Oryzias latipes: one gene and its partner. The main gene of each other region encodes a partner of the protein of the gene in region 2 in a complex. Links are inferred from orthologs where the notes say so. Each region holds a gene or a part of one and is shown on either strand. Other genes may lie near its edges.

What was found.
Region 1: the proteins of rab3gap2 (region 2) and rab3gap1 are in contact, whole or in part, in a cryo-EM structure (PDB 8VYB), measured with the Homo sapiens proteins. The link is inferred for Oryzias latipes from reciprocal best matches to the Homo sapiens genes RAB3GAP2 and RAB3GAP1. Residues at the interface, in NP_036546.2 of Homo sapiens: Arg197, His198, Pro199, Gly200, Ser276, Pro277, Phe278, Asp279, Met281, Lys282, Ser285, Asn286, Ile287, Gly289, Phe290, Asn291, Ala292, Ile294, Arg377, Phe378, Gly379, Leu380, Pro381, Asp382, Arg385, Cys395, Thr397, Leu398, Arg407, Arg415; in NP_036365.1 of Homo sapiens: Thr19, Ser21, Trp23, Glu24, Glu142, Ser143, Asn146, Leu147, Leu149, Ser150, Ser153, Ile154, Ile169, His170, Trp173, Arg174, Met176, Arg187, Asp189, Glu191, Met192, Val193, His194, Leu195, Arg196, Pro199, Tyr202, Ile211, Ser214, Lys215.

The regions. Positions count from the first base shown.
Region 1 is NC_019877.2:24,428,961-24,433,057, reverse strand, and holds part of rab3gap1 (rab3 GTPase-activating protein catalytic subunit), read left to right. Parts: intron 1-225; coding exon 226-329; intron 330-744; coding exon 745-857; intron 858-3,811; coding exon 3,812-3,914; intron 3,915-4,097. UniProt on the Homo sapiens protein: Catalytic subunit of the Rab3 GTPase-activating (Rab3GAP) complex composed of RAB3GAP1 and RAB3GAP2, which has GTPase-activating protein (GAP) activity towards various Rab3 subfamily members (RAB3A, RAB3B, RAB3C and RAB3D), RAB5A and RAB43, and guanine nucleotide exchange factor (GEF) activity towards RAB18.
Region 2 is NC_019880.2:20,252,521-20,257,059, reverse strand, and holds the start of rab3gap2 (rab3 GTPase-activating protein non-catalytic subunit), read right to left. Parts: upstream 3,232-4,539; 5' UTR 2,975-3,231; coding exon 2,866-2,974; intron 1,706-2,865; coding exon 1,617-1,705; intron 1,531-1,616; coding exon 1,422-1,530; intron 1,344-1,421; coding exon 1,262-1,343; intron 668-1,261; coding exon 620-667; intron 544-619; coding exon 468-543; intron 381-467; coding exon 279-380; intron 1-278. UniProt on the Homo sapiens protein: Regulatory subunit of the Rab3 GTPase-activating (Rab3GAP) complex composed of RAB3GAP1 and RAB3GAP2, which has GTPase-activating protein (GAP) activity towards various Rab3 subfamily members (RAB3A, RAB3B, RAB3C and RAB3D), RAB5A and RAB43, and guanine nucleotide exchange factor (GEF) activity towards RAB18.

The DNA of each region.
Region 1 (4,097 bases), on a different chromosome or scaffold from region 2:
AGAAGCCCCCGCCAACCTGCACTGAAACCAAATGAAACCCAATAAAAAGAGCTATAACAGGAGGAGAAAACTAGAGGCACAAGCCTTCAAAGAACCTTTAAAATACCACCTTTCCTCTAGATCTCTTCAAGTTTGAACGTCTGATCCAGAGTTCAAACGTTTCTTTTTTACATTTCCTTCTTTTGTTTTAATCATCATTCCTCCATATTTGTTCCTGGGCCTCAGAGGCAGCAGAGAATGTTCCAGCCGTGAGGAAAAGCATTCAACAAGCTGCCAGTCAGGTCAACAAGCTGCTGCACTCCACCAACCTAGACTACAAGAGGTTTGAGGTTAGTGACAGTGAGTCCAGCGGCGTTTCCTCATCATGGATGGATCTTCACTCATCAGCTTCATTTTCATTCTAAATGCTTAACAGCCACAAAACTGCTTTTTATTCAAGTCCCACTCTGACATCTTTTGGTATCCAATTTTGTGTTTCCTGTAGCTTTTTAACAAGAAATATGCAGTTTTTAGCCTAGATACAGAAACGAAGTTTCTGCAGAGTAGCAGGAGTTCGTTAGAAATTCACCTCAGAGTTTTACAAACTGCGGATAAATTCTCTGATTTGATAAGTTGATCATTATTGAAGCTTCTTCTTTTCAGTTCTGTTTTTTTCCCACAGTTTTTGAAATATTTGATGAAATGACTTTCTATGATGAAATGGGTTAGGGTTATTTTTTCCTGAACTAGTCTGTCTGCCTGCAGGAGTTTGTGAAGCAACTGGCAGGAATGGAAACGGCCATCGCTCAGGCTCGATCGCTGAAGGCCAAGTTCACCTTCAACAATGAAGACCAGAGCGAGGCCACCGAGCTCAAGAAGTGAGTCTGACTTAGGGGGTGGAGCCTGAGTGTGGAGGTGGAGCCTGACTTTGAGGGTGGAGCCTGGCTGTGAGGGTGGAGCCTGACTGTGAGGGTGGGGCCTGGCTGTGAGGGTGGAGCCTGGCTGTGTGGGTGGAGCCTGGCTGTGAGGGTGGAGCCTGACTGTGAGGGTGGAGCCTGGCTGTGAGGGTGGAGCCTGGCTGTGTGGGTGGAGCCTGGCTGTGAGGGTGGAGCCTGGCTGTGTCGGTGGAGCCTTGCTGTGATGGTGGAGCCTTGCTGTGATGGTGGAGCCTGGCTGTGAGGGTGGAGCCTGGCTGTGAGGGTGGAGCCTGGCTGTGTGGGTGGAGCCTGGCTGTGAGGGTGGAGCCTGACTGTGAGGGTGGAGCCTGGCTGTGAGGGTGGAGCCTGGCTGTGTGGGTGGAGCCTGGCTGTGAGGGTGGAGCCTGGCTGTGTCGGTGGAGCCTTGCTGTGATGGTGGAGCCTTGCTGTGATGGTGGAGCCTGGCTGTGAGGGTGGAGCCTGACTGTGAGGGTGGAGCCTGGCTGTGAGGGTGGAGCCTGGCTGTGAGGGTGGAGCCTGGCTGTGAGGGTGGAGCCTGACTGTGAGGGTGGAGCCTGGCTGTGAGGGTGGAGCCTGGCTGTGAGGGTGGAGCCTGACTGTGAGGGTGGAGCCTGGCTGTGAGGGTGGAGCCTGGCTGTGTGGGTGGAGCCTTGCCGTGAGGGTGGAGCCTTGCCGTGAGAGTGGAGCCTTGCCGTGAGGGTGGAGCCTTGCCGTGATGGTGGAGCCTGGCTGTGATGGTGGAGCCTGGCTGTGAGGGTGGGGTCTGACTGTGAGGGTGGGGCCTTGCTGTGAGGGTGGGGCCTTGCTGTGAGGGTGGAGCCTGACTGTGAGGGTGGAGCCTGGCTGTGTGGGTGGGGCCTGGCTGTGAGGGTGGAGCCTGGCTGTGTGGGTGGAGCTTTGCTGTGATGGTGGAGCCTGGCTGTGAGGGTGGAGCCTTGCTGTGATGGTGGAGCCTGGCTGTGAGGGTGGAGCCTGGCTGTGAGGGTGGAGCCTGGCTGTGAGGGTGGAGCCTGGCTGTGTCGGTGGAGCCTTGCTGTGATGGTGGAGCCTGGCTGTGAGGGTGGAGCCTGACTGTGAGGGTGGAGCCTGGCTGTGAGGGTGGAGCCTGGCTGTGAGGGTGGAGCCTGACTGTGAGGGTGGAGCCTGGCTGTGAGGGTGGAGCCTGGCTGTGAGGGTGGAGCCTGACTGTGAGGGTGGAGCCTGGCTGTGAGGGTGGAGCCTGGCTGTGTGGGTGGAGCCTTGCTGTGAGGGTGGAGCCTTGCCGTGAGAGTGGAGCCTTGCCGTGAGGGTGGAGCCTTGCCGTGATGGTGGAGCCTGGCTGTGATGGTGGAGCCTGGCTGTGAGGGTGGGGTCTGACTGTGAGGGTGGGGCCTTGCTGTGAGGGTGGAGCCTTGCTGTGAGGGTGGAGCCTGACTGTGAGGGTGGAGCCTGGCTGTGTGGGTGGGGCCTGGCTGTGAGGGTGGAGCCTGGCTGTGTGGGTGGAGCTTTGCTGTGATGGTGGAGCCTGGCTGTGAGGGTGGAGCCTTGCTGTGATGGTGGAGCCTTGCTGTGAGGGTGGAGCCTGGCTGTGATGGTGGAGCCTGGCTGTGTGGGTGGAGCCCTGCTGTGAGGGTGGAGCCTGGCTGTGTGGGTGGAGCCTGGCTGTGAGGGTGGAGCCTGGCTGTGAGGGTGGAGCCTGGCTTAGTGGGTGGAGCCTTGCTGTGAGGGTGGGGCCTTGCTGTGAGGGTGGAGCCTGGCTGTGAGGGTGGAGCATGACTGTGAGGGTGGAGCCTGACTGTGAGGGTGGAGCCTGGCTGTAAGGGTGGAGCATGACTGTGAGGGTGGAGCCTGACTGTGAGGGTGGAGCCTGGCTGTGAGGGTGGAGCCTGGCTGTGTGGGTGGAGCCTGGCTGTGAGGGTGGAGCCTGGCTGTGTGGGTGGAGCCTGGCTGTGAGGGTGGGGCCTGGCTGTGAGGGTGGAGCCTGACTGTGAGGGTGGAGCCTGGCTTAGTGGGTGGAGGCTTGCCGGGAGAGTGGAGCCTTGCCGTGAGGGTGGAGCCTGGCCGTGAGGGTGGAGCCTGACTGTGAGGGTGGAGCCTGGCTTAGTGGGTGGAGCCTTGCTGTGAGGGTGGGGCCTTGCTGTGAGGGTGGGGCCTTGCTGTGAGGGTGGAGCCTGGCTGTGAGGGTGGAGCATGACTGTGAGGGTGGAGCCTGGCTGTGAGGGTGGAGCCTGGCTGTGTGGGTGGAGCCTGGCTGTGAGGGTGGAGCCTGGCTGTGAGGGTGGAGCCTGGCTGTGAGGGTGGAGCCTGGCTGTGAGGGTGGGGCCTGACTGTGAGGGTGGAGCCTGGCTGTGTGGGTGGAGCCTGGCTGTGAGGGTGGAGCCTGGCTGTGAGGGTGGAGCCTGGCTGTGTGGGTGGAGCCTGGCTGTGAGGGTGGGGCCTGACTGTGAGGATGGAATGGCTGTGAGGGTGGGGCCTGGCTGTGAGGGTGGAGCCTGACTGTGAGGGTGGGGCCTTGCTGTGAGGGTGGAGCCCTGCTGTGTGGGTGGAGCCCTGCTGTGTGGGTGGAGCCCTGCTGTGAGGGTGGAGCCTGGCTGTGTGGGTGGAGCCTGGCTGTGTGGGTGGAGCCTGGCTGTGTGGGTGGAGCCTTGCTGTGAGGGTGGAGCCTGACTGTGGGGATGGAGCCTGACTGTGAGAGTCCAGAGTTTATCTTCCAGCTCCCAGAATTCAAACTGACCGATGTGAAGCGTTCCTGCCATTAAAATCCCATCGATTCAACTGAAAGAAGGCTGGGCCTCTAGAGTATGTTGTCGAGTGAGCGATGTTGCTGTGGAAACAGCATGACGTGCTTTTACATCCCTGTCTGCCTCTTTAACTAGCGGTTCCAGAACCTTCATGAGAACTCCTGTGTCTTAAAGGTTTGTGAGCTCCCTGCTGGAGGAGCCTGAGGTGGAGGTGACCGGAGCTGGACAGGGACCAGCCGGCCGCATCATTCACAGGCTTTTTGTCAATGCACAGCAGGTACGCAACCCCACCCTTCTCAGAGTGTCCGCCCACCCCCCTGGTGGTTGGTGCTGATGTTGTCCAGCCTTTGTAATATTTAGGGGCGTTGGGATGTGAACTTTTAATGTAAAGGTGTTTCTTCCCTAAGCTGCTCTAATTTCATGAGCTTCACACTCTGGTTCCTGACTGCTTTGTCCTGCT
Region 2 (4,539 bases):
AAGTCGTGTTTTCAGCTGAGCTGAAATAAAACGTTCCTGCAAGTAAACAGCTGAACCTTCGTCTTCAATCTGAGAACACGACAATAATCCTGTAGATTAAAAATTGGATTAAGAAAATTTTAAAAAATAACATGCTAATTTGTCTGTAATCAGTTAATTGTAATTAATGCGATATTTGACAGCCCTACAATAAATATGGTTTTAAATCACTAATACTTCTAATCCATCAACTGATAGACCCAGAATTAGACAAAACAGAACCTGAACACCGCTCTCACCTGTTCAGCTACTCCAGGATGGCGAGGGATCTCATAGGTGCGACATTTGAGTCTGAGAACAGGGTCCTCATGCAGTAACTGAGCCAGAAGCAGGACCCCACCCTGAAGACACAATTATTTTTATAATTACAAAACAGACTGACATTAGCAGTAATGCAGCCAGAAAACCAGCCTAAGTCCAACAGGTACCTCTGTGTAAAAGCGAACATAACCAGAAGTGAAGCCGACTACAACACAGGTCCAGTCCGGCCGCCCAGTGGAGCTTCTACACACAACAACAACAAGGTAAGTACACACAAATACACACTTTTTATGTCAACAGTCGACATATTTGCTCTGACCTCTTCTGGCTTGCCAGCGGAATTGCTATTGCACTGCTCACACACTCTCTGGAGAGAAAAACCCGTTTTAACTTCATCAGCATCTTTATTTATAAAGCACTTTAACACAAATGCCACTGTACAATAAAAGATAAACACGATAAAATTGTTAAAAACTAGTTTAATAAACTAATGAATACAAACATAAAGATAAAAGAAAACTTGAGATGTAAAATAACTGGGACTGCATCATTTTGCACGCCCAATATTTCTGTTTTTCATTTCATATCCAATAAATTTCTGCTGCAGGTAGGAACACAAAGTGAATAATAATTAGAGAATGTGGTTAAGGAGGGAGATTAAGTAATGACAAATAATAATTTAGAAAACCCTTAATGCCTTTTAAAGATATCAACTCTGTAGAACAAGAGGACAACAGGCATAAGTTTAATCTCTTTTTAAGTTAAAATAATGTAAAAATCTCTTTACCTCCTTAATCGTAGCTTTGCTTATTTTGTAAATACAGTGAGATTAGAACAGGACTACAGTACATAACAGAGTCCATCAGTCAAAGAGCCGCTTCAACTGAGAGCCAAACTAAAGCTTGGGTTGGTCTTTGACATGATGGAGAAGCTAAACTACTAAGAACATAAACAATCGGACCCCTCCTCAGTGCTGAGCGTTCCACTCCAAGAAAGCCCCAGGGTCATCTCCTCTCTGCCACTCTCATCTGTACGCCACTTGGCTGCAAAGACAAACACAGAGACACCTTTCAAATAAAAACTACTGCTAAGAGTCAGGCAGACTGTGTGTAAGGTCTGACCCGAGAGGAAAACCGCCTTCTGTTCCCGGGCCACCACCAGCAGGTCAGAGCAGGGAGAGAGGGAAACGATGCAGTCATGGAGCCAGGGTCCACTTGGTGCTGCACAGTCCTGCAGAGCAGAGACAAGCTTCACCTCTGTGCGTCACCATAGCAAATCCTAAAACATTAATAATAGAATAAAGCAAAAGGCCAGACCTGTGTGGAAGAAGCACCTTCCTGCACTTTATTATTCTCAGTGTCCCATGCTGATTCCCAATCTGAGGTGTCCCAGGAAAGTTCATTATCTGGAGAAGATTCCAACAAACGTCAGGAAGAGGATGTCTACATAGAGCTTAGAGGTTTTGTCTGTTTATTTCTCTGTCATAAACAGAAGGGAAAGATACTACTGACATAAACAGAAAGGAAGTGACTTAAGCTGTGTCCGAATTCCCATCCTAACCCCTAACTACTAAAAACTATTTAGTGTGGGACTATCTAATGCTCTGAATTTTAGTGAAGTGAAAGTCTAATTTATTTGAACGTTTTGTGACGATTATTTATGAATCCACTGAGTTCTGGAGATAAAAACGTTGATGGTTTATTTGAAAAATACAATTTTTGAAAGCAAAAATAGTTCAGACACAACGCATTGTGGTCTATATTCGCCAATCTAGTGAGCATCAATGCACACTGGTTTTCCGCAGAGACTTCTGGGAAATTTCTAGGGCACTGAATTTTGGAATTGTAGATTCGGACAGCACTACAAAACAGCGAACGCACTATATAGTGAAGGCATTCAGACACAACCTTAGTGTTGAGTGTTCTGGGGCGGCAGTGGCTTAGGTGGTTGAGGAGGTCAGACGGAGATGGAAGGGTCAGTGGTTTAAACCCCGTCCCCCTCAGTTAACTGCCACTGTGTCCTTGGGCAAGACCCTTCACCCTCCCTGGTGTGTGAATGTGCATGCATGAATGTCCAGGTGATGGTCAGAGGGGCCGTAAGCGCAAACTGGCAGCCACACCCCCGTCAGTCTGCCCCAGGGCAGCTGTGGCTACATCAGTAGTTACCATCACACAGTATGAATGAATGTCCGAGAGGAAAACCAGTCCAGTGGTACAGTTCCCAAATGCCACGCGATGCTGCAGAGAGACGTGTCAGCCAAGACACTCCCAGCATCCAGACACTTGAGGTACTCAGGGAGGACTTCGTCCACTCTCAGAGCCTTGCCACTGAGTCAGTGACTTCAGCTAACTAAATACATAAACACAATGTAATGAAAAACTACTAGTTATGATCGTTCATGGTCCAGATATGACATCCAAGCTGCATCTCTCACAATAACTTTACTGGGAAACCGGAAACATGAATGTGAGGAGTCTGTTTCACAAAAAAATGCCCGTCATCATCATGGCCACATTATATGTAACCTGCCGGCTAGAAATGTGCGGCGGGAGGCAAACACTTCACCTGCTTGGTTCCGCTCCTCCGCCGCATCGGGTTTCTGACCCTGGAACAAAAAGTCCCGAACGGTTCTGAGCTCTTGGAGCCGACCAAACTCCAGCAAGCTGCAAGACATCCCTGCCGCCCGGCCGATCCCGTCGGGAATCCAGCAGACGAGGGGTCGGACAGTTAGCCTTAGTTCCTGCTAAAGGCGCGGCAGAAGACTTCCGGTCACGTCCGGCGGCGCGTGAACTTTGTGATTCCCGACGACAAACGTCCAAGTCCCGTCGAGCAGCTCCTTCAGCGACCAGGACAGGGGTTTACTCTCGCCTGTTGTGTTGATGACACATCGTTAGCATCGGAACACTGCTGCTGTTGTGTTTCCGGGTCAGGGATCCATTTGGAATTTCAAAATAAAAGCATCGCAGGAGCCTCTTGTTTTTATCAGCAAAAAAAGCTGAGTTAAACTTTTTTCATTTGAAATCAGATGTGATCGTAATTCTTCTACACTTAATATGTTCCAGTGGTGTTTTTCTCTCAGCTGAGGTCGCTCCATCAACACTTTGGAGTTTGCTGCATGCAAAGCTTTTTGACATTAAAATGCGTTCAAATGTTTTATTTCCCTTCAATTCTTCACAGAAGGATCCAGATCCATGATAAATAATTAATGCAGAGCCTTCAGCTCTGATCTGCTTGCTCAGCTGTCGGACAGGACAAGTTTAAATGAAGGACGCAAATACATTACTATGCAATAAAATCAAAAAAGAAAAAAATCATCAGAGATTGTAAAATGTTTGCAGATATACACTTTACCAAAAGTCGTACACCTGAAGTTTATTTGACTAAGTACACAGTGATTGAATATAGTAAGTAGACTACAGTACTTGCATCTGGTATGTAGGAAGTATACTAACGAAATATTTCTAAATTGGAACATTTTTATTTTCCATAATTTAAAAAGTAAACTTCAAGAATACTGCCTAACTTTAAGTACAGACTAAGTTTACTCTGTAGTACACTTACATAGACAATCTCCTCCTGATCATTTAATGGCTTTGAGCCTTTTTTTTTTCCTCTTCTGGGTCTCGATTGTTCAAGCAGAAGTCCTTCCACTACCCTACATAGAAACATTATTCACAGAAGTCCTCGCGTTTTTAGCAACATTTCTGCATATATTTAAAAACTAGATGTAGTTTGTACTACTGGAACCCATCATAGTATAAAAAAACACATTTACAAAGGTGCAAACGTGAGCTGACACCTGTGCTCAGGTGAGTGTTTTTGTTCTACGGTGGTGGATGATGGAATGCTAAAAGAGTGGAGCACCCGGCTACCCCCACACCAAGACCCCTACTGCAGAAACAGTGGCAGCCAGGGCTCACCAGACACATAGCAGATCCAGATCCAGTAAACCACCCTCGACCAGGGGGGTCCCCACAGGGGCCACAGGACCGCCACAGGGGTCCCCAACGCCAAAGAGCAGGGGGGCACGGAGAATGCAAGCTCCAGCCCAGCCAGAAGAATAGCCCTCTCTGCACATCAGTGGACCCAGCATTGGACTCCACACACTGGAGAGCCCCCTCCCCCCAGCCCCAGACAAGCACCCCACCACCACCTGGAAGTTCTGAGCATCCCCCCACTCCAACCCCAGGGACGAACCAAGGCCCCCCAAGAGAGACCTGCCCCACGCTCCAGGCAACC